7 linked regions of the Cricetulus griseus genome follow. The protein of the gene in region 6 interacts with the protein of the main gene of each other region in a biochemical or structural test. Links are inferred from orthologs where the notes say so. Each region holds a gene or a part of one and is shown on either strand. Other genes may lie near its edges.

Evidence for each region.
Region 1: of the proteins of H1-5 (region 6) and Prkcd, one has a biochemical effect on the other in vitro, tested with the Homo sapiens proteins (2 studies listed by BioGRID). The link is inferred for Cricetulus griseus from reciprocal best matches to the Homo sapiens genes H1-5 and PRKCD.
Region 2: of the proteins of H1-5 (region 6) and Ccnb1, one has a biochemical effect on the other in vitro, tested with the Homo sapiens proteins (2 studies listed by BioGRID). The link is inferred for Cricetulus griseus from reciprocal best matches to the Homo sapiens genes H1-5 and CCNB1.
Region 3: of the proteins of H1-5 (region 6) and Ccna1, one has a biochemical effect on the other in vitro, tested with the Homo sapiens proteins (2 studies listed by BioGRID). The link is inferred for Cricetulus griseus from reciprocal best matches to the Homo sapiens genes H1-5 and CCNA1.
Region 4: the proteins of H1-5 (region 6) and histone PARylation factor 1 form a complex in vitro, tested with the Homo sapiens proteins (2 studies listed by BioGRID). The link is inferred for Cricetulus griseus from reciprocal best matches to the Homo sapiens genes H1-5 and HPF1.
Region 5: of the proteins of H1-5 (region 6) and Prkca, one has a biochemical effect on the other in vitro, tested with the Homo sapiens proteins (2 studies listed by BioGRID). The link is inferred for Cricetulus griseus from reciprocal best matches to the Homo sapiens genes H1-5 and PRKCA.
Region 7: of the proteins of H1-5 (region 6) and Ccna2, one has a biochemical effect on the other in vitro, tested with the Homo sapiens proteins (2 studies listed by BioGRID). The link is inferred for Cricetulus griseus from reciprocal best matches to the Homo sapiens genes H1-5 and CCNA2.

What each region holds. Positions count from the first base shown.
Region 1 is NW_023276807.1:189,104,331-189,109,139, reverse strand, and holds the start of Prkcd (protein kinase C delta type), read right to left. Parts: upstream 3,367-4,809; 5' UTR 3,133-3,366; intron 1-3,132.
Region 2 is NC_048595.1:319,289,128-319,292,359, forward strand, and holds part of Ccnb1 (G2/mitotic-specific cyclin-B1), read right to left. Parts: intron 2,813-3,232; coding exon 2,630-2,812; intron 1,171-2,629; coding exon 1,012-1,170; intron 822-1,011; coding exon 585-821; intron 345-584; coding exon 204-344; intron 1-203. UniProt on the Homo sapiens protein: Essential for the control of the cell cycle at the G2/M (mitosis) transition.
Region 3 is NW_023276806.1:96,102,243-96,107,236, reverse strand, and holds the start of Ccna1 (cyclin-A1), read right to left. Parts: upstream 3,209-4,994; coding exon 3,044-3,208; intron 1-3,043. UniProt on the Homo sapiens protein: May be involved in the control of the cell cycle at the G1/S (start) and G2/M (mitosis) transitions. May primarily function in the control of the germline meiotic cell cycle and additionally in the control of mitotic cell cycle in some somatic cells.
Region 4 is NW_023276806.1:238,645,430-238,650,348, reverse strand, and holds the start of histone PARylation factor 1, read right to left. Parts: upstream 3,275-4,919; coding exon 3,257-3,274; intron 2,993-3,256; coding exon 2,833-2,992; intron 1,347-2,832; coding exon 1,157-1,346; intron 67-1,156; coding exon 1-66. UniProt on the Homo sapiens protein: Cofactor for serine ADP-ribosylation that confers serine specificity on PARP1 and PARP2 and plays a key role in DNA damage response.
Region 5 is NC_048600.1:120,914,267-120,918,513, forward strand, and holds part of Prkca (protein kinase C alpha type), read right to left. Parts: intron 2,652-4,247; coding exon 2,544-2,651; intron 531-2,543; coding exon 390-530; intron 1-389. UniProt on the Homo sapiens protein: Calcium-activated, phospholipid- and diacylglycerol (DAG)-dependent serine/threonine-protein kinase that is involved in positive and negative regulation of cell proliferation, apoptosis, differentiation, migration and adhesion, tumorigenesis, cardiac hypertrophy, angiogenesis, platelet function and inflammation, by directly phosphorylating targets such as RAF1, BCL2, CSPG4, TNNT2/CTNT, or activating signaling cascade involving MAPK1/3 (ERK1/2) and RAP1GAP.
Region 6 is NC_048596.1:244,135,848-244,139,263, forward strand, and holds H1-5 (histone H1.5), read right to left. Parts: upstream 1,491-3,416; 5' UTR 1,419-1,490; coding exon 750-1,418; 3' UTR 689-749; downstream 1-688. UniProt on the Homo sapiens protein: Histone H1 protein binds to linker DNA between nucleosomes forming the macromolecular structure known as the chromatin fiber. Histones H1 are necessary for the condensation of nucleosome chains into higher-order structured fibers.
Region 7 is NW_023276806.1:113,103,006-113,106,039, forward strand, and holds the end of Ccna2 (cyclin-A2), read left to right. Parts: intron 1-198; coding exon 199-332; intron 333-581; coding exon 582-630; 3' UTR 631-1,358; coding exon of another isoform or gene 1,359-1,440; 3' UTR 1,441-1,586; coding exon of another isoform or gene 1,587-1,665; 3' UTR 1,666-1,991; downstream 1,992-3,034. Other genes in the region: Exosc9 (exosome complex component RRP45), read right to left, coding at 1,359-1,440, 1,587-1,665. UniProt on the Homo sapiens protein: Cyclin which controls both the G1/S and the G2/M transition phases of the cell cycle. Functions through the formation of specific serine/threonine protein kinase holoenzyme complexes with the cyclin-dependent protein kinases CDK1 or CDK2.

The sequences.
Region 1 (4,809 bases), on a different chromosome or scaffold from region 6:
CAGTGAGATACAACCAGTAAGCCTAGTTACTCGGGCCAGAGGCATGAAAAGCAAAAGTTCAAGGTTAGTGTGGGTTACAGGGAAAGTTCAAGACCAGCCTGGGGAAACAAAATAAGACTCTGTTTCAAAAATTAAAAAAAAAAAAAAAGAGTTTAGGATGTAGTTCATTAATAACTCCAAGTAAGGCCCTGGCTTCAATCATCAGGACCACTAAAAAAGCACAAGAGGAGAACATAATAGATAGATAAGGATCCATCTTAGTCCTTGTTTTGTAGTTTCAGGTGATTCTCACATTACTATTGCACCATTATACAGTTGAAAAAACCGAGGCATAGAGACATTCTGAACAGGAGGAACAGCAAAAGCAGCAAGGGGCCCTGGCCTAGGTATTCTGGCATTTCCACTGCAAGCTAGGTTTTCTCAAAAGGTCCCACACCCTCACTGGAGGGTGGTAGTGCACACCTTTAATCCCAGCACTTAGGAAGCAGAGGTAGGTGGACTCTGAGTTCAAGGCCAGCCTGGTCTACAAAGTGAGTTCCAGGACAGCCAGGGCTGTTACACAGAGAAACCCAGTCTCCAAACAGCAACAAAGTCCTACTGCCCCAGACCCCATCACTACTTCCTAGAGGCAGCAGCAGCCTTAGGCTTTATCTTTCCATCAGTACTTATTTCCAGTTTAAATTTAAACTCCAATTAGCTGTGCCAGATAAATGGTGTCAGAACCCTGCAATAATCACAGTTCTGAGTCACCCCCCACTCACTCCATCATAGCTACAGAGACTGGGGTCCCATTGGGGTGGAGCTGAGCAGGACTGTGTCCTGGCACTCTGTGAAGAATCCTCCTTCCTGCAAGCAGCCTAGTCAGGGAGACAGGAAGAAGCAAACAACACATCATGTGGGAAATATTGTTGGGAACTATCTGGGTTTTCATTCATCCCAGATTCCAGAAGAATGGGACATACAGCCAGGAACAGCTTCACTCTCAGTGTGAGCCAAGACTGCTGAAGAGCCATTGATCCCTAAGTTCTTGCTTGCTCTGTTCCACAAAGGAAACTCAGCACACAGAGACCTGGCGTAGGACTCCTGCTCTTAAAGGGTATGATAAGTATTTGAACCCATGGCTTTTATGGTTCAGAATTTGAAGTCTTGATCAGACCACTGCAGCCCCAGGACTTGCCTCCAGCTTTCTCCATGTCTCCAGAGCACACGCCCAGCACCTCCTGTTCTCCCATAAGCTCTCACAGCTAGGCACTTACCTTCCCTCCTAGTCCTATCACCAAAGACTCTATAACACCCCTCCTGTTGCTGTCACCCAAACTCAGCCACTGTTACCCACAACCACTGTCACTCAACACACACCTGCAGTTTCATACAGTCAGACTGTGAGTCTCTTACCAGTCATACTCTCCCCCTACAGCTCCATATTGCCAGTGTCACCTTCAGCACAGTCTTGTCATATACCAGAGCCTTTACAACATCATACAGAGATACTGTCACTGAGGACACACCACACACACACACACACACACACACACACACACACACACACACAGCCGCCCTCTGCTGGGCTATCCACCACACCCCAGGCTAATCCATAGCAGGAACGAGGAAACCCAAGGACTAGTCCCCTCCCTCTGCCTGGTCACAGAAGATCAGCAGCAGAGGAAGAAGAATCAAACATGATTGTATGCACTCTTACACAAAAACACACTCACACACAAGCCTTGTAGGTTGGCACGCCAATAGTGTGGGCTCCCACAATTCAAGGATCTAATATACCCACGGCCAGATAGTCACCATTACATGGTGCACACAGGAGTTTCGGGGCACACAGAGATATATATACATGAGCAAGCAAAGACACATATCACAAAATATAGAGGGGAGACAAATGACAATTCACCAAGACATGATGCATGAAGTTGCAAGGGCCACACATGGAGCCTCAGGACACTCAGACAGTCATATACACACAAGCAAGTCACACGTGGAAAAGGACACATTCACAGGGAAAGTCCCACAGTGACAAACAAAATACAAGGAGACAAGATACACAACATACCCACAGGCCTAGACATAGATGCTCCAGCAACAGAAGCCAAGATCCTCCAAGGGCCCGGGGTAGGGACCAGAGGAAAAAGATCTCCTCCACTCATTCTAAAGGTTTAAGCAGAGTGCGTAGTGGGGCTCTCTTCCCTCCCCTCCACTATATACCGAGGGAGTTGGGGAAGTGGGAACAGTTGTGGTGGTGCTTTTGGCCTCCCTCTCCACTGCCAGCCAGCAGGGCAGGGAACTCCCATCACTGCTGCCCTCATCACCTTACTGGGCCCCCAGAGGGAGTGGCGTCTCTCCAGTGGGACCGAGACTGACAGCACCAGGCAGAGGCTACCGGGAGAGGGGGCTCAGAGGGGCGGAGAGGACAGGGAAATGGTAGAGACTGAAGCCACGCCCAGCCCAGAGACAGATGGAAAACCAAGAAAGACACCGAGACAGAAAGAGATAGGGCGAGGAGGCGGCGCCGCGCCGGTCTGCCCGCCTGGGATCCAGGCGCAGGAGGATAGGACGACGGGCGCCTCGGCCTCCGCCCCGTGGTGGAAAGGACCAGAGGCTGGACTGGCAGGGGCCTTCGAGCGTGGGCCGGGGGTGCGGCTCCGAGAGGAATGGGTCGAGGGGGCGGCGGGCCTGGTGGGGGTGGGGAGACGGAGTACTGGACGGCGAGGGGCAAGCGGACTTGGCCTGGAAACGGAGGACCAGGCAAGAGGAGATGAGGACCGACGAACGTGCAGAGGCCCCCAGGGAGATTCGGGAGGATCGCAGAGACCCTCGGTGGGACTGAAGACACCCAGGATGGTAAAGATGACGGGAACAGTAGGGTCTGGGCTCCCGCCGTCGAAGAGAGAGTCAGACCAATCAGGGGACCGAAGCACCGGCGGGTCCCCGTGCTCGGTGGGACTTAGGCTGCTCATGGCTCAGTTTCTCAGTTTAAGAACCGGGAACCGGGGAAGGAAGAGGGGGACGGAAGACGAGGAGGGAAGAGGGGAAGGAAAAGAGGCCACGGGAGAGAGAAGAGAAAAAGGCCGCTGCGCCCTCGAGTTAGCTGGGACCCCGCGCCCGGGCCCAGTTCTCACTCACCTCCGGACGCAGGGCCAGGCGCCAGGGGTCCCGGCGGGCCGGGGTCTGTCTCGTGGCGCGGCTCTCCCCGAAGCGCGTGGACGGGGAGGTCAGCACGGGCCTGATCAGGATGGGTCCGGCGGCTAGTGGGGACCGCTCGGGTCCCGGCACGGAGGGTAGATGTCCAGGGGCCGCTCGCAGGATCCTGCGACCGCCGCCTCCTGCTCTGGCGCCGCGGCACACGGAAGTGCAAGGGGGCGGGGCTGCGCGACCTCACCCAGGTGCCGGCCCCAGCCCCGCCCTCACTCAGGACCCGCCCCAGGGCGCCCGCCCCTTCGAAGCTCCGCCCTCGAGAGCTGAGGGTCCGGCGCGTCTCAGCCTCTTTTAGGGCAAGTCTCGGTTCCCTGGTCTCTTAGCTCTCCCTAGCTCTCGTCGTGCCTCGCCTGCCAGTGGCACGCAAGCCATCTCATCTCAGGGATTGTTTTATGGAGGAGGACTCTGAGGCCAAGGTGGGGGGCACAGCACACACAATGGAGCCTGGGAGGCACCGCCGGGGGTTCCCCATCTACTCGCGCCTACGCCCGGGACTCCCCACTGGCCAGCTGGCCCGCCTCGCTGCCTGGCCTCACTCCTCTTCCTGCTGGCTTGAGCCAGGCTGTGAACGAACGGGCTCAGTGCCCGCCGCCAGGCCTGCCGATCCCAGCACTGCCCGAGAGAAGGAGCTGGGAGGTCTCCAAGGGCGAAAGGATCTAGCCAGTCTGTCTCGGCGCTGTTCCTCAGACAGTTCTGGGAATTGCCTCTATCCCCATCTTCTCAGTCTCTCCTGTGCCCACGGTCCAGAGCTCCCCTCGATTCAATCAGGCGCATAAGCTTTCTTTCCAGAAGAGGAACTTGATCATCAGCCGTATGTAACAACTCATTCATTCGTTCGTTCATTAAGGGTCCCCTGGGCCCAAAGTCTGAGCACCGAATGGGAGCCAGGAATCCATTTTTGCTGTCCCCAAAGCCCAGAGCACTAAGATGTTACATTATACTTACCCAAAGAAATGACTTCCCGGGCTGGGCCTGTAAGTCAGATGATAGAGTGTTTGCCTAACTTGCAGAAAGCCTGTGTTTGATCCCCACCACAGAGAAAACCACAGATGGAGGATCAGAATGATGCTTCAGTACTCAGGAGGCAAAGGCAGGAAACGAGTTCAAGTTCAGCCGTAGCTACATAGCAAGTGGAGCCAGACTGGGCATGTAAGACCCTGTCTCAAAAAACAAAAACAAAACAAAATGAGATGACCCTTCCAGGAAAAATATAAGATCTCCTGAGTAAATTGGAAGTGTGTGGGGAGGATGGAAGGGGAGAGGGGAGTAAGAAAGGGGAGTGAGGAAGAAATGTATAGCTCAAAAAAAAAAAAAAAAAAAAAGGTAACCCTTACCAGGAGGCTAAAAAAGGCTTCTAGGATCCTAAGGTCCTTGACCTCCTTCTGAGGGACCACCAAGAAGGAATAAAAGTCTAGACAGCTCTTTGAAGCTTAAGAGAAGTGGACCCCCCAGTGGAAGACTGAGACTTCCAGGGATAGGGGAACCTGACAGAGATGTAGGTCTCCAAACCTTATTTTAAATGCACATTGGGTATTGGGCTAGGGAGAGAAAAATCACAATGACTTGTCCTGCTCTAGACAGAGGAAGTTCCCTGATCCCTCTACC
Region 2 (3,232 bases), on a different chromosome or scaffold from region 6:
TTTCATGTGTGAAAGGATTAACAGACAGACTCCAAAAGGGTGTTATCAGAAAGATGAAAAACCTGAAGAATGGAAGCATTCTAAGTCGGATGGCACCACATTTTCACCACCATTCATTTACTCCTATTGAGGAAGCAGAAGGGCCACAAGGGCAAAAATGGTGCATTCAAAGGCTGTTTACAATTGGTTTGGAGACTGCTTACCCATTCACCGTTGTCAAGAATTTTCAGTGCTAAGCAAAAAGCTCCAGCTGCAATCTGAGAAGGAGCAAAGTGCACCATGTCATAGTCCAACATAGTGAGCTCCATGAGGTATTTGGCCAAAGTATGCTGTTCAACGTCAACCTGAAACAGATCCACATACATACCACTGAGCGTCTTTTGCAGTTTTGCTTTTGCGCTAACTTACAAAGCCCGATCTGTGACTACAAACTCTCAAATACAATGGTCCACAGAAGGCTTTAAGAGTAACCATATAATATCCAACCTGATTAGAAATAATAACAGCCATATCCTTCTCCCATGTACTTATATATCTACCGTATTCTCTAATATAGCAAAATAAAAATTTCAAGTAATGTGTACCTCTCCAATCTTAGAGGCTCTACGGAGGAAGTGCAGAGGCAGAGGGCGACCCAAACTGAAGTTTAGAACTCTTAGAATCTTCATTTCCATCTGTCTGATTTGGTGCTTAGTGTAAGTATTATTAGTCACAAAAGCGAAGTCACCTATTTCTGGAGGGTACATTTCTTCATATTTGCTTGCAATAAACATGGCAGTCACACCAACTAGCTGCAGCATCTTCTTGGGTACACAGTTATCCTGCAATTGAAATGTCAATGAACATGTACTTGAACATCTCAACTGGTGGCACCTTATCTCCCTGTAAAGACAGATACCTGCCTACCATGTAATGGGACCCTGGGTTTGACTGTCAGTGTCCACTCCCCCCTCCTCCAAGAGTCTTCTAGAACCCGGGAATGAAGAACTCTCATTACTTAATTACACATACCTGCATGAACCGGTCAATAATGGAAACAGTCATGTACATAGTCTCTTGCAGCAGCCTAAATTTCATTTGAACCTGTATCAGCCAGTCAATTAGGATGGCTCTCATGTTTCCAGTGACTTCACGGCCCAGTAGATATCTTGGTCTAACTGATTGTTCTTCCTGCAAAAGAAAAATGTCATTTATCCTGGAAGCATCACTCTATACGCCATTTGTGACCACAAAGACCAATTAACTAATATAAAACAGCTCCATGGCAAAGCTTTATTAAGAAAGCAAGGATTAAAATAGCATGACAGGCTTTTCATATTAAGATATTGTGACATTCAATTAACCAGTGGAAAGCAGGCCCACACTTACACCTGTCATAATCTCAGATCAATATCGATTTTACTAATTTCACTTTGTGATATAGAAAAAATTAATCACTAAGTTATATATCAGCTAGAATTTAGCTGATCTTCCAGAGGTCCTGAGTTCAATTCCCAGCATGCTAGCTCAACCATCTATAATGAGATCTAGTGCCCTCTTCTGGCCTGCGGGCATACATGCAGGCAGAACACTATGTATATGTACAAATATAAAAAAGAGAGAATAAGGAATTAAGAACAACTATGTTTAACTACCAAATTCAGTTCTGCAGTTAGGATACAACAAAAAAAACCTTTTAGTATTGACAAGAATTACAAAGTAGACAGCAAGCTTGGACAGATAATCCTATTGAGGACTACTTTAGGAAATATAAATTACGTCAAAAGGAATGGCAGCAAAATGGTTGACTCTTAAGTCAATCCCACCCATTTAAAGGTGGAAGGAAAACCAATTCTTGAAAGTTGTCCTCTGAGCCCCCCATATGCACCCTGTCACAAAGGATAAGAGACTGAGTAAATGAGTGGTAACTGAAGCAGACAGCGCGCTGGAGATATAGTTCAGTGGTAAAGCACCTCTTAGCATGCACAAAGTGCTGTATTTTGTTCCTAGGATTGGAGGTGGCAAATCTGATAAAACTACATTAAAGAACTGTCTTGTTTAAAGAGGTGAAAGCGTTAATGTCCTTAATATCCAACTGGGCTAAGTTGACAAAACCAACCACTTCAATTTTTTGAGTGTGCTCCTTTTGGGCACAAGTAATAGTTTTCCTGCCAAGCACAAGCACACTGACCAAAAAAAAAAAAAAAATCAGAAAAAACCCTTGTGTTGGGACAGCTATAAGTTCTTTAGCATCTTTATCTACCTCCTCCTCCAACCACAAGTTTGGGACTTTCCCCATGTGTGATGTGTGTGTCTACTTTAGGAAGAGTCATAATAGTATCTCCCCAACACAGAAATTCTGTATTCAACGTGACAAATCCACCCCACGGAGTTAGTGACTTTATTTCCATTTCAAAACAGAATTTCAAGTGTTATCTATTGTCAAGAAATGTCAAATGTGCTGTTGATAAAAATCTTTAATTGCTGAGTTAGTGGTGCACAACTTTTTGAGACCAGCCTGGTCTACAGTCAGTTCCAGGACAGTCAGGGGTACACAGGGAAGCCTGGACTCATAAAAACCAAAAGAAAAACAGTTCCTTAATAAACCTAGCTGAATTCAGTAAAATCGTATTGTAACAACAATACTGACCTCCAGCTGTCTGAGATAAGCATATATGTCTTTCACATATTCACTACAGAGGTTTGGATCAGCGCCATCATCTGCATCCACATCGCTCACGGCAAGAATTACATCAGAGAAAGCCTGACACAGGTATTCTTCTGCAGGGGCACATCCAGATGTTTCCATTGGGCTTGGAGAGGGATTATCAACCTTAAAAAAGAGAGACCCCATCAAACAAAGAGAAGCACATGCTACAGTCCAGGAAGGAAGGTCAGTATTGGTATCCTCAATTTAAGAAATCATTCTGAATAAATTAATTTCATTAAAGGAAAAGCATTTCAAATTTTCTTTTTTCTCAAATTTCCTTTTGGGAAATGATTAGTATTCAAAGTAAATGCTGGGCTGGAGAGATGGCTTGCTTAGCTGTAAAAAACACTTGTTTTTGCCAAGGGCTAGAGTCTAATTTCTATGCAGGAACCAGGTAACTCAAAATTCTTGCTCCAGGTTATGATGCCCTCTTCTGCCCTCCTTGGGCATTGCACTTAAGTGCAAACCCCTGCCCTACATATGAAAAATAAATCTTTAATTTAAAAAAAAAAAGAAAAAGAAAATTTCAGAGCCAGGCATGAT
Region 3 (4,994 bases), on a different chromosome or scaffold from region 6:
AAGCAATGGAAGTCCATGTCACTCATACCAGTAGCTTGGGAAAGCTAGAGCAAACTCTCTCACTTTCTGACTATCTAATTCCAAATACCAAATCTCTGAACATGACTTCCCTTTTCATTTTGTTTACATTTGTCATATGGGAAAAGTTCTGCTTGAAATTCATCATCTTCATTACATGTGTGTTAAAGGGAATTCACAACTATAAAAACAAGAAGAGCTGTAATACACTTAGAAAACTGATTAGTTACAATATTCTAGGGGAAATTGCAAATTGTCCTTTACATTTAGAGCACTACAGTATTTTACAAGAACTCAGCATCACTCTTGATCCTTAGTTACTGAGTCCTCTGTTTAAATGCCAAACTTTCCATTGGAGATGCCCGTAAAGCTTTCATTTCTTACCCAGTTATTCAGGAAAACATCATGACCTTGGAGCCCTGTGCTACAAAACATTCTAAAATGGTATGAAAATATTTTTGTATATCATCATTACTCTTGGGGAATTTTCTCAAATCATTTCTTTTCTTTATTCTTACAGAGAGAACAACAGAAACAACAGTGGCCCTGTCATAGTGAACACTGGCAACCAGTGGTCTAAGGAGAGTTATGTGTGGCAGCCAGAGCAGGCCTAGGAGTTAGACTTTGATATGCCAGTACCATCAACTGTGAACATTTTGCTTATACTTAATCTTGGTAGTTATTATTGGATACCACTTCCCAATTCATATGTCACTTCATGAATTTACTTTTCATCAAGGAAGTTAAACTTATGTTTAATAAGAAAAACAATTTGTAATAAAATGTTAGAGGAAAAAATTCCATGAGGCAAGTTACAACTAGCCATGACTCATGTTACTGCTGGGTTTGAGTTCTGCTCTACGTGTGTGTGTGTGTGTGTGTGTGTGTGTGTGTGTGTGTGTGTGTATCTGTGTGTGTGTGTGTATGTGTGTATCTGTGTGTGTGTTGTGTGTGTGTGTGTGTGTGTGTGTGTGTGTGTAAGAGACAGAGGAGAGGCAATGTGTTGCATAACACATCAAGAAAGAGTACTTTTTACTAAACTGAGCAAGAATAAATGGTTTCAAAGAAGGAAGAATGGCCACTTATGTGAAAGGTGTCAATATATCAAGGAAGACAAAACTGAGTGAGAGAAGACTCAGAAACAGAAAGTGCCAAGCCAACAAACACACCAAGCTTGTCTAGCCAGGCCCATCACTCTTCTGGACAGTAGGAATACCACAGAAAAGTGTCATCCCCACATTGTCACCCTGGTGGAATGCCCATACCATTAAGATAGACAGTTTCTAATAAATCTTGCTGTAACTGGGACAGTAGCTGCACAGAGATAGCTGTGTGGCTGGACAAGTTTGAAGATGGGAAGCTATTTCCATATATCCATGCATGTATGGATTTGCTTCAGAGAGATAAGAAATTGGAGAAAGAGAAGAATTGTTAGAGAGGTACCTTGAAATCCAAGAGGTCATGGGTTCCAGTCACAGAGCAGGAAGGGAATAACACAGGGGAGCAGTAAAGATTCTAGCTGCTGGCCCAAAGTGAACAAACATGTAATTGTAGCACTAGAATGGATGAGGTAGGAGGGTCCTGAATTTGAGGCCATTTAGAGCTATGTACCACATCAAAGCCAGCTTGGCCTAGACTCTCCCTACTCCCTGGAGTTGGGAGGAAGAGTGAAGTTCTGGCTGAAGCATTCTTTTGGGAAAGCAGGATACAGTCATCTTATTCTTTATTCTGAAGGAGCAGGGCTGTGAACAATTAAGGGTTGAGGCAACAAGACGGTTCAGAGGGTAAAGACTCTTGTTATCAAGCCCAGTGACCTGAGTTCAAACCTCAGAAGGAGCTTCCAATCTTGTCATCAACCTCTACATGAATGCTGTGGCATGCATGCTCACAAACACACATCATATATGCACACATGTACATACATAGTAATGAAGGAATTAAATTATTTTAAAACCAAATAGAAACCAAAGAACAAATAATAGGGAATCAGGCTTGAGGTGGGTTTCTATGGAAGGTGTAGGGGAATGGAGTGTCGAGGAGACACCAAGCAGTAACTCCGGTAGCACAAGAGCTGAGTGTGAATTTCAAACAAGGACATTCAATGTAAACACCACTTTTAATTCATAAATTCAGGTCTCAGATGGCAAGTTTAAAGAAGTGAAACATTGCTAAGCCATTTTTGTTAAAACTATTTTCACTTGGCTTGACTCAGAGCATTAAAGGGATCATCTGGGGGATCACTGCCACCAATGGATACAGTCAGACCCAAGAGCAGAGGACTTGAAGAGGCAGTAGATGAAGGGTCTCTGAATGAGCCTCTACTGTAACAGGTGGGAGGGATAAACCATCTCTAACCTGCCCTTAAAACCCACCCACCTGCTGGACTGGACTCTTGTAACCATTGGGTTCCACAGACTTGTAATACAGAATTGAGGCCTCGTTACAAGGGTTTATCTAATAACAGGCTTAGAGGACACTTTATTTTCTATCTCAAAAAGTCACTGCTGCAGATTCAAATCTCTCCTCTACATTTAAACGTCTGAATTTGATGCTGTCTTCGGTGCCAGTTATACAGTCAGTTAAGAGCAGACTGGTAGCATCTCAGTGCCATTGTCTGTAGTGGTAGATATGTTTGCTCTGGATGCCACCTTTCTCTTAAAAGATAAACTAGTGTATCCTGGTACACACGCTGTCTCCATTGATTGATTTCTGGTGGCCTGGCTCATCCATACAACTTTCTGGCCCAGAGGTTCCTCCCAACCCCACCCCCACCCCTGCACTACAGATCAAAGTAATCGCATCTCCCTTCTGACTAACTCTTAAGTCACTTAACACATTCCTAACCCAAACAGTCTCTAAGATTTACTTCTTTGATATAGGGGGAAACACACACACACACACACACACACACACACACACACACACACACACACACACACACACACACACACACTCAGACATGCACATTGCCGCAGGCAGGCAGGCCTTCTCCACAGCATCTTCCCTGATGCTCCTGGGTCATTACCTGGCCACAGGTCCTCCTGTACTGCTCATTTTCAGTCAACACCCCTAGCACGGTTCTCTGTGGGGGATCCTGGCCGAGCTGAGCTCTAGTGAGCATTTGACAAGCCTCGGGACCTTGGCCCACTGGAGGGAGAGCGACTCCACTCTTGGAGCTGTGGCGACGCATTGCCTAGCAAGCCACAACCTGCTGCTATCCAGGGAAAGAGAAGGAGACAGTTAGTCAACCCTCTCAACCTGGGGACCCAGGAATGCAGAGAATGCCAAGCCCCGGCGGAGTTACCACCCATTTCTCAACTTCTCAACAAACATTAAGGTCAGCGTTTCCGAAGCGAGCCACAGCAGCAGGCATCAGAGCAACTCACAACCAAACACTGGTTGAATAGGCTTTAATCTGACCCCAGGCTGAAGGTTGCAATGAGAGAGAGAGTGGGAGGGAGGGAAGGGAGGGAGGGAGGGGGGGCTGTCTGTCCAAACTCCACATCGGGATTCTCAGCCCACACTGATTTGTGTTGTTTGGGCGGGGGGGGGGGGGATAGAGAGGTGTTGCCTAGGATCCCTGATTTTCCTCCCCACCTTCCCTCATCTCAGACTAAACCCTGAAACTCGAACTGTGGACAAATGATTCCCCTTCCCAAGTGACAAGCAAGTGCTTCTCACCAGAGGAAGGCCCCCAAACCTGCTTGGGAACCCCAGGCGGCCCTGATTCTCAGGTTCTTCTCCTTCTGAGGCGATTAGCCAGCGCACCCAGGCCGGGGCCGGGCGGGCGGGGCCTGGCGTGAAGGGAGGGGACCCGGAGTGGAGAGATTCCAGGGGCGCCGGCTCCAGCGGCTAGGGCTGCTGCGCTCGCCACTGAGCACTTTCGACCCAGCCGCGTCTGTTGAACCAGCCAATCAGCGACCAGTCCGGGCCCCTCCGAGCCGCTTCCATGCCAACCGCGGCGGGCGTGCGCCCGGGTCCTCATCGCCCTGGCGACCGCTCACCTGCAGCGCCGCCGGCTGATGCTTGGCCCCGGAGCGCTACCGGGCGCGGCTAACCGCGCAACCCGGGGCTCCTGAGCCGCAAAGCTGGGCGTACTGGGCGCACCGCACTGCACGTCGCCACTCGCGCCCGTCTGGCCGGCGTCCCCTGCGAGGGCGGACGACGGCCTGCCCACAGTACCCACCCTGGAAGGGACTGTTCCCCAGGAGCCGGTTCCCCCAACAGCCACGAACCCCTCCCTCCAACGTCTCCTGCGCGGCCTGCTCCCGAGAACCCTGGCTCGGGAGAGCGACGCGGGGCCCTCGGGCTGCGGCCGCGGAGCCCTCCAAGTCGGCCCGAGGGCGCGGCTCGCTCCCCTTCCTCACCTCCTTCTCCAGGGCGCCTGCCTTGAGGGCTCCCGACCGTGGGCGGCGGCGGACTGAACCTCATCTCTACCCACCAGGATGGCCAGGTGCCTCGAGTGTGGCAAGGAGAGCTGGGAGAGATTGGGGGCTCTAGGGTAACTCGCGGTGCCGCAGGTACCCGGGAGAGATCTTCCCCATGGGCACCCGGTGGCACCGGGAAGAGGAAGGAACGCGGAGAGGTGCTGGGCCTTGGGTGTTGAAGGGGCACAAGGACAGATTCCGAGCTGGGGTCATTGGGCCGGTGACCTGGCCACGTGTGAAGGGAAAGTCCCAAGACTGGGGGTGGGGGTGCTAGTGGGGGTACAACCAGTTCTTGAATCTTGGAAACCCTGGCACCCGCGGAGGCGACGGGCAATCAGCAAACCGAATTGGTTAACTTTATTCGAAGTTTAAGCAAAGGTCTAAAGGCGCCTAAATGTAGTAACTGTTGTGTTCACGAGAGAAAGGGTTAGCTAATGTGAAAGGTCTCAACCAAAGCAGAAGACCCAAGGAAAAGTGTGCACTCAAATGAAGACGACTTTGCAAAGGATTCCAGCAATCCGCACTGGATGCAGAAGTGCAAAATTCTCT
Region 4 (4,919 bases), on a different chromosome or scaffold from region 6:
ATAATTATACAATTTTTCTTTGCTTCATTTGTACCAACATATACTGGAAGTTCATCAGGAGAATCCCTGTTTTAACAAAAGATAATAAAAATTTAGCTGCCAGGAATTTATGATCCAACACTCAGAAAATTAAGTCTATAGACAAATTGCACCTGTAAAAAGCAGAATAAGCTTACTAGGTTTAAGCTCCAAGTATCTCCAGACTGTCTATGAAAAATCTTATCTATCAGAACACAAAGCCAGGGTTCTTAGTACCTAATTATTTTTTCTCAAATATAAAAGATGGGAAAGAAAGTCTGTGAACAGAGTGTTACAAACAACTGATCACCTTAATTTTACAATTTATTACGGGGGGGGGGGGGGAACAAGAAGAAAAAGTGGAGTAAAAGCCAAAAATAAACAAGACAGATTATAAAAAAAATTGAAGAATCTTATTCATGTATATTTTATTTTAAAATTGAAGAAACCAGTAGATTCTTGGCTAAGGTTCTAGCAGCCAATTAGTGTCAAAACCAAGAACAAAATCCATCTGACCCCATTCTCAGCCCCACGAGTGTTCTGTACAGTACTTCTCTGTAGCCATGACTCATCTTTTCTTCTATTACTTCACTTTGACTTTACAACACAGGACTACTGCTACATGTGCACAAGCTATTTTTCACATTACCCTATCTGCTAACAGTTTACCTATCTGCGGGCATTCCCTTCATTCTCATAATATTCCTATCAAATATATGCTATTATCTCTGTAATTTTAAGAAACTGAGTCACAGAAAGACCACAGTCACCACTGACTGGCATACCCTCATCAAGATAATAAATGGCAGGACCAATCTTTTGAGTCCTTTGGCCCCTGGAAGTGCATGGTTTAAGTCAAACAACTGGTTTACATCATCTTATTTGGGCTTCAAACAAGCTCTTCTGATCCCCAAAGGACAAAACTTTATATTGGAAGAGAAAAAGAGATCAGGGAAGATTAATGTAAAGAGTTCACCAGCCTAGGCAGGCTACAGAGGTGAAGGATAGCCAGAACAATAGGTAAACCACAGAGCCACCATAAGAGGAAACAAGTCTTTCCTTGGGGATGCCAGTGAAGGGCTGGAAGACTCATTGATACCAAAGCAGCTGTATTTGAGAGAGAGAGATGATCTTTTACCTGAAATACCCCATGTGGTACTGAGTTTTATTATCTCCAATAATAATGGTCTGGAACTCAGGAGGGTCATAGTAAAACCTCCAGTGAAGATTACAGTTCAAGCCTGTGGATTTTGTCTTCATTTTATGTTTCCCAGCAAGGATATCATAGGGACCCACTAACCGAAGTCCAAGGCTTGTGGCAAGTGCATCTATAAGGAAAATAAGTTTACTCAGGCAACACTTTCTAGAGGCAAGTAGGAAATAATGCCTTTCATCACTTTTTTTTTTTTTCTCTTATTTTGAGACAGGGTTTTTCTGTGTAGCCCTGGCTGTTATGGAATTTACCGTGTAGACCAGGCTGGCCTCAAAATGAGAGGTTCACTTCCCCCTGCCTCCTGATTCCAAATAATTCTTAAGCAAGTTGTTTTAAAGAATGCTTTTAAAATCTGTAAAAGTGTTTTTGCTCAATGGAAGAATGTTTAACAGAAATGTGGCACTAAATTTAGAATTCCCTCTAAACCTACTACTGAAGTAGCTTAACATTTGAAACATTCCTGTCCCTCATGTAGCCCAAGCCAAGCTGCTCTGCATTCTTTTAGGCCTAAGAGCCACACATTTCCCTTGCCTCACTGCTATCCACTATTAGCTACAAATACACAGATTATGGGGGAGACAACATAGGTCAACGATAGAAAAAACCATTTTCTTTCCTTCTCCTCAGTGGGCACTCCAGGTTCTGTTGACTTTCAGCTACACTGTGGACCATAACACTCAATGACTCCATCTGTTTTCACAACCATGGGGGCAGAGTAAGAAAACCACAGTGCCATGAAGGCTGTGCAGATGTGCAAACTGATAATCTCACAGTGCCTGCAGCTTTTCTAGGAAGGATACAATCAAGCATTAAGCCCTCCACCCCTCAGTAAATATCCTTGAAGAAAATTCTTAGTTTACTTAGTCTATAAGACAAGTTTATGCAACTGCTAATTTTCCTTTACACGTACATGGAGGAATATCCTGAAACCGATTGCCTTTGCCAATAGGTGACAGTAGCATATTATAGCATTATGGTTTGAGTATGACGTTAAACTAAAAAGGCTCATGTACTGAAAGCATGGGCCCCAGCTAGTGACATTACTGAGAAGTGACCTGGCCAGTAGGAGGTAAGGTCTGGCCGGAGGAAGTGGTCAATGACTTGAAGGGTTCCATCCTATCCTATGATTCTTGCACCCTAATGTTCTTTGCTTTCTGTTTGCCAAGATGTACACAAGTTTCCCAACACATCCCTCTGGCATAACATATCACAGGCCCCCAAACAAGAAAGTCAACTAACCAGGGTCAGGAACCTTTAAAACCATGACTCCAAATAACTCTGTCTTCCTGCCAGGCTGTTTTTCTCAGGTCACAGCCATAAAAACTGACTACAGTTAAGTATTAATTTGTTTCTTTGACAACATAGCTCTCATTACAAACTGTGGGAATGTTCCTCTGTCTTCTTTTTTTGATATGATCTCACTGTGTAGCCCAGGCTGGCCTGAAACTCGTTAAACTCTCAAACCAGTGTCCTAATTTCGGAGACTGTAATAGGCATGTGTCACCATACCTGATTGCAATCCCCTTTCTCTATGAGTTGGTTCTGTCTTTCCTCCAGTGTCCTATCATCTCTTCCAGTCACAGAAGCACAAAGGAACTCACCAGCTGGCTTTTCAGGATCAAGGTCTTCACAGAACTTCCAGAAGTGATAGAAATCTTCAGGCAGGGAAAGCTTATAAAGGTCTTCGACTTCTTTTCGAAGGTCGCTGGAGACATCGGCTTCACAGGATTTACTTTTCTTCACTTCAACTGTCTTCTCACGCTGGAAATTGGCATATATAACTTTAGTTCTCCATAAGAAACCCCTAGCAACTCACCTTGCATACCAATTATCACCTATAGTTGGTTAGTTTCTATGAACTACATACATTTTTTCTAAAGATTTACTTTTATTATTGTGAATTATGTACATGTGTGTATGTCTGTGTTGGGGTTATGTGGCTACCTGTATTGGAGTTATATGATGTTGAGAGCTGCCCAACATATCAGGAACTGAACCTGGGTCCTCTGAAAGACCAATGCATACTCTTAACTGTTGAGCCATCTTTTGAGCACCATTTTAATATATGTTAAAAAATGACATTTATAAATAAAATCCTAGGAATTCTTTCATACAAAGTAGAAATAGTTTACATGGTGGTCAAGTAATACCTACACACAGCATGTCTTTAAATATGCTTCTCCATGGTAGCAGAAACACAAAAGAAAAATTTTAAAAATTGTCAAAAAGGCAGAATTTCATTACTCCATAATCAGCACTAAAGATGATTGCCTGGGCAAAGCCAACATGGGATATACAGTGAAACCATCTTAAAAAACAGCAAATAAAAAAAATGTACAATGGCACATATGTACAAAGAAGCCAGGATGAAACCAATTACTTTGTATTCTAACCACAATCATTGTGAACCTTCCATTTACAACTGGGGGCTTCCCTTTTAACACTCCAAACAAAATGAGGGGAGAGATGCTAAAGTTAATGAGAATAAACTCTGATCGAAAACCAACCACTTATTTCAGAAAAGGCTTTGTAATGCCAAGACTTGCTATTCTTTGCATCTTCCAGCACCCGTGCAACGTAAACAAGCTAGGCTTGAGGATGCTACTAGACAGCTGACTCATTCCTGCCATGGAAACATGCATTTGGAGTATATTATTCCCATCACAGTCCTCCTTTCAACCCAGACCTGGCTCTGAACAGAGGGTAACTGGACATATAACCCTCTCAGGGCTAGTGGCATCTAGTGGTGCAGAGGCTGGGGACAATGCTCAACACTGTACAATGCACAGGAGGGCTGCACTCAATGTCAATTATACTAGAGTTGAGAACTTTCACCTAAGTGTTTCTGATAATTATGTTTTCTCAGAGGCCCAGGTCTATTAATATGTATCAAAGTCTACCTGGTGTATTTACAAATCAAATGGCATGGTTGTTCACCATGGCACTGTCCTTAGGGATTTAAATGCCAACTGACAGGGGAATGGATAGTTACAGGGCTTTCAAACAATGGAGTACACTAAATAAAGGGGAGTATAGTTAGACAACAAGGCTCAATTATGAACTATTTGAAAGGAGTAGGTGTAGCCTTGTTAGAGGAAGTATGTCACTGGGGGTGGGCTTTGAGATTTCAAAAAGCCCATCCCAATCCTAGAGTCTCTCTTCCTGCTGCCCGTGAACGAGATGCAGAACATCCAGCTACTTTTCCAGCACCATGTCTGCCTGCACCCCACCACACTTCCAGCCCTGATGATAATGGACTAAACCTCTGAAACTGTAAGCTAGCCCCAATTAAATGTTTTATAAAAGTTATTATAGTCACAGTGTCTCTTTACAGCAATAAAACAAGATGTACCATAATAGCTTTTTAAAGAAAACAACAAACTCTAAAAGGCAAGTGAAAACTCAAATTCAGGGTGATAAAGTGACTAGAAGCAGCAGGTAGTTTAGGCAGAAAGGATAAGGAACATAGGTGAGTGGATGCAGAGATGTGGTAGTGTTTTATCTTCAAAGCTATTTTTTTAATTTAAATTTATTAAATACAATATATTTTGGTCACTTCCCCCACGCCCCCCCCCAACTCAACATGAGTCCCAAGGATTGAATTCAGGTCATCAGGATGGTGGTTAAGTGCTATTACCCACTGAGCCATCACATTGGACCTTGTTTACGACAGGGTAAACTGGTAGCC
Region 5 (4,247 bases), on a different chromosome or scaffold from region 6:
TTCAGGGTCCCATGAGGGGCAGGTTGTCGGGAGGCCTGTGGAGCAGGCAGATCTAGGGGTAAGCTAGCAACAGATTGAAGGCCCAAGTCCTGTCAAGGACCAGGGCAAAGCTCTACAGGTACAATATCCCCAGAGTCCAGGGCACAACCTGGTGGTCAATGGCTTGGGTGTTCTGTGGCCATTGTTAAGCAGGCAAGGGAGATTAAGAGTCTGTGCATCTCTCCTCTCTCTGTTCTCACTTTGAAAAGGCAGCAGAGCCCATGGCTGTGCACCACGGCTGGTGACTCGACTGTTTTCTTTACTCGGCCAAGGCCAGAGAAAGGGAGAGAGGGCCACACCCGGGATCAGGAACCCAGCGCAGGACACTGGCCTGCTTTTGTGGGACTCACCACTTTGGGCTTGAATGGTGGTTGGATTTCCCTGTTCTCCAGTTTTTCCCAGTCGATTCTCCTGAAGAAGGCGTGCTCTCTGACGTCCCGCTCTCCCTCAGGCCCGCAGCCCAGCCGCTTGGCAGGGTGTTTGGTCATGAGCTGGAGAGAAAGAGACAAAAAGTCAGTCTGATGACAGCAGCCTCCCAAGAGTCAGCACCTTCCCTGGCCAGCTCTGCCTCTGGGCATAGATGGTGCTGCTGTCTGAGAACACACTGGAAGCTCACTTGTGCTGTGGCAAGTGTGGCTTTTGTAGAATGATTTTCACAGTAAGGAAGCAGCTGGAAACAATGACCAAAATGGAATAAAAATTCAAACAGGCATCTCTAAGTATTGTGTGCTTTGAACCTGGCATTCTGTATGGGAATGGGGAAGCAGGCACTGGGGATATGGCTCAGTGGTAGGGAGCTTCCTTTACAGGGTGTAAAGTTCTAGGTCCAATCCTTAGCACTGCCAAAGGGGAAGGGAGGGAGGGAGGGCGAGGAGTAGCAAGAGATGTTCATGTTATTTACATGCAATCTGATAAAAAGTTAGGGGTCACTAAAATATCTTGTGTGATGAAAGTACTGCAGGCCAGCATCATTCGGGATGCTACAACAAGCATCGAATTCCTCCTCATTGCCCAGATCTAAATATCAGGCACATGGGTTAGGAAAACACGTGTTGCAGCCAAGACAGCAAGTGGTTCATTTCAAGGTATCTGATGCAGGACTCAGAGGGAGGTGCCAACCCTGGGCTCTTCTACAGCAAGAGACTCCTCAGCTGTCACGGGCACCAGGGCCTTGACCTTCAAACACACTAAATAGGAAACACCGGGTGTGGTACACTCTCTTGGTAAATTAAGAACAAGAATTTTGTGATTTTCAGAACTTGACCACTAAAAATGACTTAAATCACGGCCACCAGTTCCATCTGTAGCAATTCCCTGAAAGAAGAGAGTTGGCCCAGGACCCAGAGAGTTCAAAACAATTCCATTTATAACAGCCTCCAGCCAAGGGGGAAACAATGCAAGTGCCCTCCCGCATGAGCGGAATTCAGGGCTGGACTGTCTGATGTCCACACAGTGAAAACCATGCAGCAACATGGAAGGGAAACATGGCTATTTGGGCACTTTTACTACTGCCATGCTGCGCTGAAGAGCCAGGTCTGGGACACCCACTGAAGAGTCCCCTCTGTGCAAAGGCTGAGATAGGCAAGACCGGTATGTGCGGTTAACACTGATTATCTCGGGGTGGTGGGTAACAGCAACTGTAAGGGGAGAGAGGAAGGGCATTTGGGGTTCGGTGTCTCTTGACCAGGGTACAGTTACATATGCATCCATTTCATAAAAACCCATTGATCTGTCTGTGGATGGGCTATACCCATTTTTAAAATGTGTCTATCTTAAGAGAGAGAAAGGACAAACTGTGTCTCAGATGTGGCAATTAGTTAGGTGAATTAATTAATTAGTTAGGAGGCCAGATGTGAGAATTAGCACTCCCTGAGAGCCTGCGATGCATGTATGTGAATGTGGGTGGAAGGCAGAGGGTGTAGGTAGGAGTGTGTGCATGTGTGTAAAGGCCGATAACAGGTGTCGTTCTTCCTTGGAACACATGGACTGGAGTTATGCTGACTGGCCAGTGGGCTTAGGGGTCCACCTACCTTTACTTCAACTTGGCTGTTTTACATGGGTTCCGAGGACCGGACTCAAGTCTTTGTGCGTACATGGCAATCACTTTACTGACTGAGCTGTGCCCCAACCCTGTGAAATGTTAGGAAATGGACTAGGAACTGGAGTGCAGGAGAATAAGAAGATGAGACAAGGTGCTTGGACAGTACTGGAATCCAAGTCTGTTGCATCTCCTTGCATGTCACCGGATTGGGCAGCAGCATTCATTTGTGATAGTTCTGGGGTCTCTCTTAGGAGGCGGGAAAAGGAAGCCAGGCATGGCGGTGCATACCTGTAACCTCAGCACTTGGAAGGTTCAAGCAAGAGGATTGCAAGTTCAAGGCCAGCCTGGGCTACATAGGGAGTTCAGGACTGGCTGAGCTAAATAGCAAGACCCTGTCTCAAAAACATCAGGTATGGGAGGGGTATTGCCTCTACTGCCGGGGAGGAAACTCAGATGCACTCACTCCTTTGCAGATGGAGACAGCTTCTTTGGACAAGGATTTGGGGTAGGACACGTTGTGCTCCATTATAGACTGAAACAGTTCGTCCTCATCTTCACCATCAAATGGAGGCTGTTCCACACAAAGAGGAGAAGACAGAAAGGTTAATGCATTATCACCGCGCTTGAAGATCTGTGAGAAGAACTGGACCACATTTCCCCACACACCGCAGGTGGCAAGGTTAGCTCTGTGAAGGCGGAGATTGATTTGATGATCTGTAATTAGGCTGCTGGTTGTGCATTTCCCATTTTTTAAACCGTCCCTTTCATTATCTTGCCCTGAGCAGCCCCAAATAATCTTTAGGGAAAAATGTTTTGGAGTAATGCGTTTAGTGATTTGCAAATAAATTATAATTAATCCATTAATCTGGTAATTATGTGCTGAAAATCTAATTATGAACAAGTCAGGTTACAGATGGTTTTATGTTTAGAGGGTATCTGTGAGGGGTACGGGGAATGCTCTCTGCCTTTACTTGGGGGTGGAGGGAACTTCAGAACAGGGCAGAGAGGAACTGGAGCCCTTCTGATCTGACAAGACCCTGTCCTGCTTGGTGTCAGTGACAGGAGCTAGCTTCTGGATATGTCCTTTGTCCCTTCTAGAGGGCTTACAGTCACCATCCTGAGGTATGGAGGACTGGAGGTATCATGGAACATCATAGCTTTGAGGTCACATGACTTTGGGCCAGCATTCTACTCTACATCCCAGCTGGGTGCCTACACTCAAAGGGCTTATCTATTAGACACACCAGTTCCTATGATGGGGTTTCTGGCTGGTCCAGAGCCCAGCAGGTGGTACCCTGAAAGAGCTCAAGGAAGGGTACTTACAGCTGTTATCGAGGCAGAGGAACCTCTTGGGATGGGGATGGGGATGGGGTGTAAGAGATGCCAAGAAGCTGTCTGTGCCCAAGCTGCCCTTCAAGCATTTTCCTCATCACATCTTTAATCCTGGGGGCTCTATGCTCTCATTCTCACTCCAGTAGGATGTGCCCAGCAGGATTGGATTTATGGGAAATTCCTGAATATGCCCTTTGCTACAACTAGCCTTGAATTCAACATAAAGATGACAGGGGTACCCCTGGTAGAGCGCTTTGATGGGGAACTGGGCATGGGGACAGGGCAGGAGAGCCACTGCTCAAAGGGAAAGACACCCAGCCTATAAAGAGCTCTCCCTCAGGGCTGGGCATGGGGGAATAGAGGATTGGGGGAATGGAGGATGGGGGGAATGGAGGATTGGGTTGCTGGTACCACTTCATTTTCTTTCTTTTACTCTCTAAAGATAAACAAAGAGCCTCTTTTCCAGCTGCAAATGCCTGGCTTTGAAAAGCCTGTGTGATTTGGTGGCTGTGTGCAGGTGAGTGAGGAGAACTAGAATAAGTCTGGCTGTGCATTAGTCAGAGCCTTCCATGGTGTGTAGATGAAACACGACATCAGAGGGACCCACAAGGCAGGTCAGTGGGGGAGTGCAGCTGCAAATGCCCTGTGCCGCCCAAGAGTTACCGCGGTGCCCGGCCTGCTGTCTGAGACACCATCTTCTTGGCCTTATAACAGGCATCCTTCTCAGTACCTCTTAGCTGTCACCCACACAGCATCTCCCTGACGAGGGACCCAGAAGAGGGTCTGAGTTTTGGCCAAGGGGTTTTCACAATTAAGACAAACATGCTACATTCTG
Region 6 (3,416 bases):
GGAGTGTAGCTGCTTCAGCACCTTGTACATATACTCTACTTATGGCTACGATTACACTAATGGTCCTTCTGCGACTGCGTCACCGCCTTCTTAAAAACTCCTTCCGGTAAGGAGCTGACTTCGAGGGCCCTAATACTAGGAAGAAAAGGCAACTTGATAAAGTGAAGGGTGCAGGGTAGTCTCTACACTAGCTGTAAATGAGTTGCGGCAATTGAGTGGAGTGACTCTCCAAACGTCATCGACTGGCTGTCCAATCGAGGCAAGGTTGGTACAAAACCATGATGCAACTGGGTTAGGAAATACGATTATGTACAGCCAATCAATTCGGCCTCTTTTCGCGCCGCGCGTTGATTTTTCAGTTATGAAAAGCTAACTGCAGTCTAAGTGAACTCTGGAGAGCTACATTCCTGACGAACAATGTGTTCACAGAACAGAGGGTAAAGATAGACGCGCGCAAAGGACAAGACCTACTAGTCCGGGATGGGAGTGGGAGGATTAGCCGGGGGGGGGGGGGGGAGCGCGCACAGTGAGGAAAAAGGCGGGTGCCCGCGTGGACATGGCAACTACTCAGCAGTACGTGAGGGCAGGAGTACTCCGTGCTAGTGTTACCTGAATTCCACTGTGGCACCCAGATGGTTCAGGTAGTTGGCGGGACTTAGAGGGTTAGGTCAGTGTACAGCTACATTCACCGAGCTCTCTGGGTGGCTCTGAAAAGAGCCTTTGGGGCTTGGTTGCTATTAGAAGCAAACCTACTTCTTTTTAGAAACAGCCTTCTTCGCCTTAGCAGCTTTAGGCTTAGCTGTCTTAGGCTTGGCAACTTTAGGCTTGGCTGCCTTTGGCTTCACAGCCTTGGGCTTTGCCGGGCTCTTGGCTGCCTTCTTAGGCTTAGCTGCCTTGGCCTTCTTAGGGCTCTTGGCCACTTTCTTCACTCCAGCGGCCGCAGGCTTCTTTGCTTTCTTTGGAGTTTTCTTCACGGTCTTCTTGGCCCCCGCAGCCTTCTTAGGCTTTTTCGGGGTGGAACCTGAAGGCTTCTTAGCCTTGGCGGCGCCTGCCTTCTTGGCTTTGGGCTTGGCCTCGCCGGAAGCCGCCTTCTTGTTGAGCTTGAAGGAGCCGGAGGCGCCGGTGCCCTTGGTCTGCACCAGGGTGCCCTTGCTCACCAGGCTCTTGAGCCCCAGCTTGATGCGGCTGTTGTTCTTCTCCACGTCGTAGCCACCTGCAGCCAAAGCCTTCTTGAGCGCGGCCAGGGACACGCCACTGCGCTCCTTAGAGGCAGACACAGCCTTGGTGATGAGCTCGGACACCGGGGGACCGGTGGCCTTGCGCTTCGTTGCGCCAGCCTTTTTGGTCGCCTTCTTCTTTGCGGGAGACTTCTCCACAGGAGCCGGAGCAGCAGTTTCGGCAGGAGCAGTTTCAGACATGGCGAGATTGTAAGCTACAATAAAAGCAAAGGAAAACTAACTCAAAGAGCAAATTTTGCTGTGCTCCTTAGCTCCGACTCCGGGCTTATATAAGCCAGAGCTGCGCTGTGATTGGTGGAGCGTCCAATCCACCGCCCTTTGGCCGCGCGAAACAAGGTTAGAATCCCAAATTGTGTTTGTTAGTCCCCAAATTTTTACTTACTACTGAAAATAAGGGCGCAGAAATTGGCAGTTTGGTGTTCCAAAGGAGAACAGCCTTCGGGTTCACATACCTATGTGTGCTTTTTTTGAATCACAATCAACAGACTAAAGATATTTTTTTTTAAATCCCTCCAGTGTTTCAGAAGAATCCTCAAAGGAGAGGACATCCTGATAGTTACTTGCATATTTCCATAAACGTATACGAAGTATGCAAGGAACATTACTTAAAAGGATTTGTCCACAAGTCCCGCCTTTAATTTTTGCAAGAGTAAAAGAAATATCTTTTTTGGTTTGGTCACAAACTTTGTTTCTGACTGTAGCAAATAACACAGGTTTGGCTGGCGGCAGACTGAAATTAAACATTTTAGATATTTCTCTTTAAAATAGGTCCGGCTTCTCGTACTTTCTGCACATTGCTATCTTTAATGGAGATTGAAAATTTTTCCATTGTGAAACTTTCTTCTTTGAAGTCGGGAGTTTAGAAATCATTGACTTTAAGAGTTGTGGCAATGGATTGGCAGGTAAGAGCAGCTACTGCTCTTGCAGGTCTGCTTTAGTTTCCCAGCACTCACAGGGCAGCTTGCAACTGTCTGTAACTCCAGCCCCGGAGTATCTCAGGCTTTCTTCTCAATTCTCCGGATTATCAGGCAAGTAAGTGGTGCACATATACACATGGAGACAAAACCTCATACACATAAAGCTTTAAAAAGTAACTCAAATATTTAAAAAGAAGTCACTACCTTCAGAGGCAAACCAATTTACTTCTAAGTCAAAATAAATTAGATATGGATCTGACTTGCTTTTGTTAGTTGCTAATGGTATCTGAAGACAGAAAATACTAACTAAAGATAATTTGCGTGAGGAAAATTTTAAAACTTTCAGGAAATTATTAGAGTGACCCTCCAGTCCTCAAATGTAGTTGGTTGAGATGACCAGTGAGAATTTCAGAACATTTAGCAAGCAGGACAATCAGGCATGCTCTTAAGTAGTCAATGCCAATATGGGTATTTTTTGTATATTGAGATGCCAAGATGGGCAATATTTTAGAATATTATTAAGGGCCTGGCAATTAGAGTTTCAAAGAATTTGAGAAAAATAAAGCAATGGAAAGAGAAAGGGGGTGGTGAAGTTTGCTCTAGGAGAGAAGGTGAAGCTTACTATGGTGAAAGGTAACACAGGCTGTGGTGCAGAAAGATGTAAAAAGGACTACATCCGATTCATTCAGATGTAAAATAAATCACAAGGATTCTGTTTTATTTTACAAAGAAAAAAAATGCAGTTTCCTTTGACAAAGACAATCTTCATCAAGGTTTTCAGGGTCACACCTATAATCCTACCAATTACTCAGTTGAGGCAAGATTGCAATCACAAGGTCATTCATTGCTACATATTCAGGTGACTACATTTAACACTGAGCTACTTGAGACCTTATCTCAAAAAAAATAAAGTACTGACTGTTTTACCAATCAGTCAAGGATACTAAAGAGGACAAGAGGACAACATGTTTGGTACACATTGTCAGGGAATGGTGTACAAGATCGACACACCTATATAGTAAATTGTATTACTTTCAAAGTAGGAACGTTTCTAAAGAACAATAAGCAATATCAAAGAAGGTGTGTGACTTAGAAAACTTAAACTTTTACTTGTGTACCACTCAGCATAATTAAACACAAAGAGGTCATTTTAGCACTTGATGGTTTAAGCCTGCCAATAATCCCAAGCAACTGTGATAGTGAAGCCTTGTCTCAAAAGGAACAAAAGCAGCTTGTCGTACCCAATTTCCACTATCCAAAC
Region 7 (3,034 bases), on a different chromosome or scaffold from region 6:
AATTTGAAAGCTCTGCTTCAAGAATCTGGGCCAACTGCCTGCTGCTAGCAGGGGAAGTAGTCAAACAGTCAAAATAAAAGATGGCATGAGCTTGAACATGTTAAAGATGAATGCCAACCTTAGGTCAACTGTAAGTGCATTCATTGGTCAATGCCCTGTGCTGTTACTAAAAACTCAATGGTTGTCTTTTCTCTGTAGCCTGAGTCATTGGTACAAAAGACTGGATATACCCTGGAAAGTCTTAAACCTTGTCTCATGGACCTTCACCAGACCTACCTCAGAGCAGCACAGCATGCTCAACAGTCAATAAGGGAAAAGTACAAACATTCAAAGTAAGAATCAGATTCTCATTCATTTAAAGGGTATGGTAATCTGCCACAGCTGCCTCAGTAAGGTAAATGTGTTAGGAAGCTATTGTACCTGGCATTTCCCCCTTTCATCTGGTAGGGTATGGGTAAGGTAACACACGTTTTGAGTCTAATCAAATAGAAATAGCATTTCCCTAGGCTGGGGCATATAAACTGTTCTGTGATCTCCCCAATGAATATTTACTAAAAAAAAATTTTTTTTCTGCTCAACAGATACCATGGTGTTTCTCTTCTCAACCCACCAGAGACACTAAATGTGTAAGAATGAAAGACTACCTTTGTTTAAAATGGGAGTTCACAATGTACAGTTTTGTCTTGGGTTTTAATCTCACAAATCATTTCACAATGTAGATGGTATAGCCACGGACAAATTATGGTATCCATTGCTTTTTAAATGGTTTTAATTTGTATATCTTTTGTACATGTGTCTATCTTAGATATTTGGCTAATTTTAATTGGTTTGTTAACATTTGGTGCTGCCAACTGTCAGGATAATAAGAATAAATTGATTTGGAAATCTTTGCAAGTCAAAGTTAATTTGAGATAAAAATAAGACTGATAATGTCACTTAGAAAGGCTAACTTGGTTTATTGTTCAGTGGGGGTAGAAAAAGCTTCCTAAAACTGAAATATTTCAGGGAAACTGATCTTCAAATTCTGACATTGGTTATTCTAAGCAACTGAACCAATTGCTGACTTGGTCATAAAATAAGCAAAAACTAGATTCTTCAGTGTAGCAGAGACTCCCCAGACTCATTCAGTTCTACTTTTACAAATAAGATTTTACATGGATTAGGAAGATTTTGTGCAACAGAAAAGTTGTACAGAAAGTTTATTCAAAGCATAATGTTACAGACAAAACAATTTATGAAACAGTTCAGCTCTTATAATGGATTTTCAAATAAAAAAATACCCAGTGCTGTTAAAGCACTGAATAAATATCCTTTTAGTAGTTTTATATATATATACACACAAAAATATCATTTTAGCTTTAATTAGCAGTTCTCTTCTTTTTCCTCCTTTTCACTTGACTTTTACTTGGTGCCTTTTCTTTTGCATTGGTGGTCTGAGCTCTGCGAAAATAAAGTAATACCACAACTCAGTGTATGTCCACTGAATCCTGGACTGGATCGCTGGAACTTTAAAGGCAAAGGCATCCTGTTTTACAGACATAAGTCCTATTTTTATGTATATTTGAAAGTAACCAGAAATCTGTTACCTTATTTTCTTTGGGTTCTTGTCTGGTTCCAAAATGATCATTTCTTCTTCTTCGCTATCTGACAGCACTATAGGGGCACCTTGGAGAAAATACCGAAAGTAAAAGTAACTACTTATTAGTATCATTAGTCTGAATGCTCCCATTTCCATGCACACACAGCTCAAGCTCTGCTGCCTGGAGGCAGCATATACAACATACTCTTTCCAAAAATTTTGTAAAAAATACATGTTTTTTGTAGTTTTTGTTTTTGTTTTTTTTTTTTTTAAGAGGACTCACGTAGGCCAGGACGGTCTAGTTTATTACTACCAGGGCTAACCATGAAAAATGTAGAGAACTTTTGTTTGCCCATTTTTGTCTTGAATATTAATTATATATATATATATGTAAATAAAGCATGCAAATTAATCATTTGCCTATTTTGGCTGTGTATTCTTGTCTCAGCATTCTTTATTCACATGCTTTAGAAAAACTCTACCATCATCATCCTTGTTATCTTAGCTGTTCATGAGCCTTACTAAATCTTAGGCAAATAGATATATACACAAGTGTAAAGACACTAGCCAGTGATAGTGAGGTAACAGCATTATTGATGGTTAAGACAACTGGATACAATGAATGGTATAAAACTCACCCATTAACCTAATTAAACCAACATTGTTCCCCTGTCAAAACAAAAACCAAGTCTATAAGCAATGATTCTCTTTCATGAAGACAAGTAGAATATGCATTAGTTCAGAGTGCATACTTCTCTGGTAAAGAACCTGAGTTCAGTTGCCAGCACCTACATATGGCAGGTCGCAACTTCCTGGAACTCCAGCAAGTTCTCTGACATCTATATGCATACCCTGGCACACATTTCTTTTTATGGCTTTTGGACCACAGCAAGTTAGACCTTCAAGGGACTTCTAACCTAAAGATAGTCACTGCTACCAATGTGGCCAATTTTGTGTGCATCTGTGTAAGTATACATGTGTGCTGGTCTCCACAGACCAAAAGATGTGTTGGTTCCCTTGGAGCTGGAATACAGAGGGTTGTGAACCATCCAGTGTGAGTACTGGGATCCAAACTCTGGCCCACATCATGAGCTTTTTGTTGTTTGAGTCAACCTACACAAAGTAGCTTGCAGGAGTGAGATCTTAAGGAAAACCCTTCAGTGCCATGGATATATTCTTGTTTTTCTGAGACAAGATCTCTAGTTTTTGGTGTCCCAAAACTCTCTATGTAGAACAAATATCCTCCTGCCTGTGTCTTCCCCAGTGCTGAGATTAAAGGTGTATGTCACACCTAGCCAGATGTAATTTTTTTAATTGTTTAAAAATATCACTATTATCGACAGGCAGTGGTGGCACATGCCTTTAATCCCAGCACTCAGGAGGCAGAGAGGCAAGTGGATCTCTGAGTTGACACCAGCATGGTCTAGTTCTAGGACAGGCTCCAAAGCTCCATGG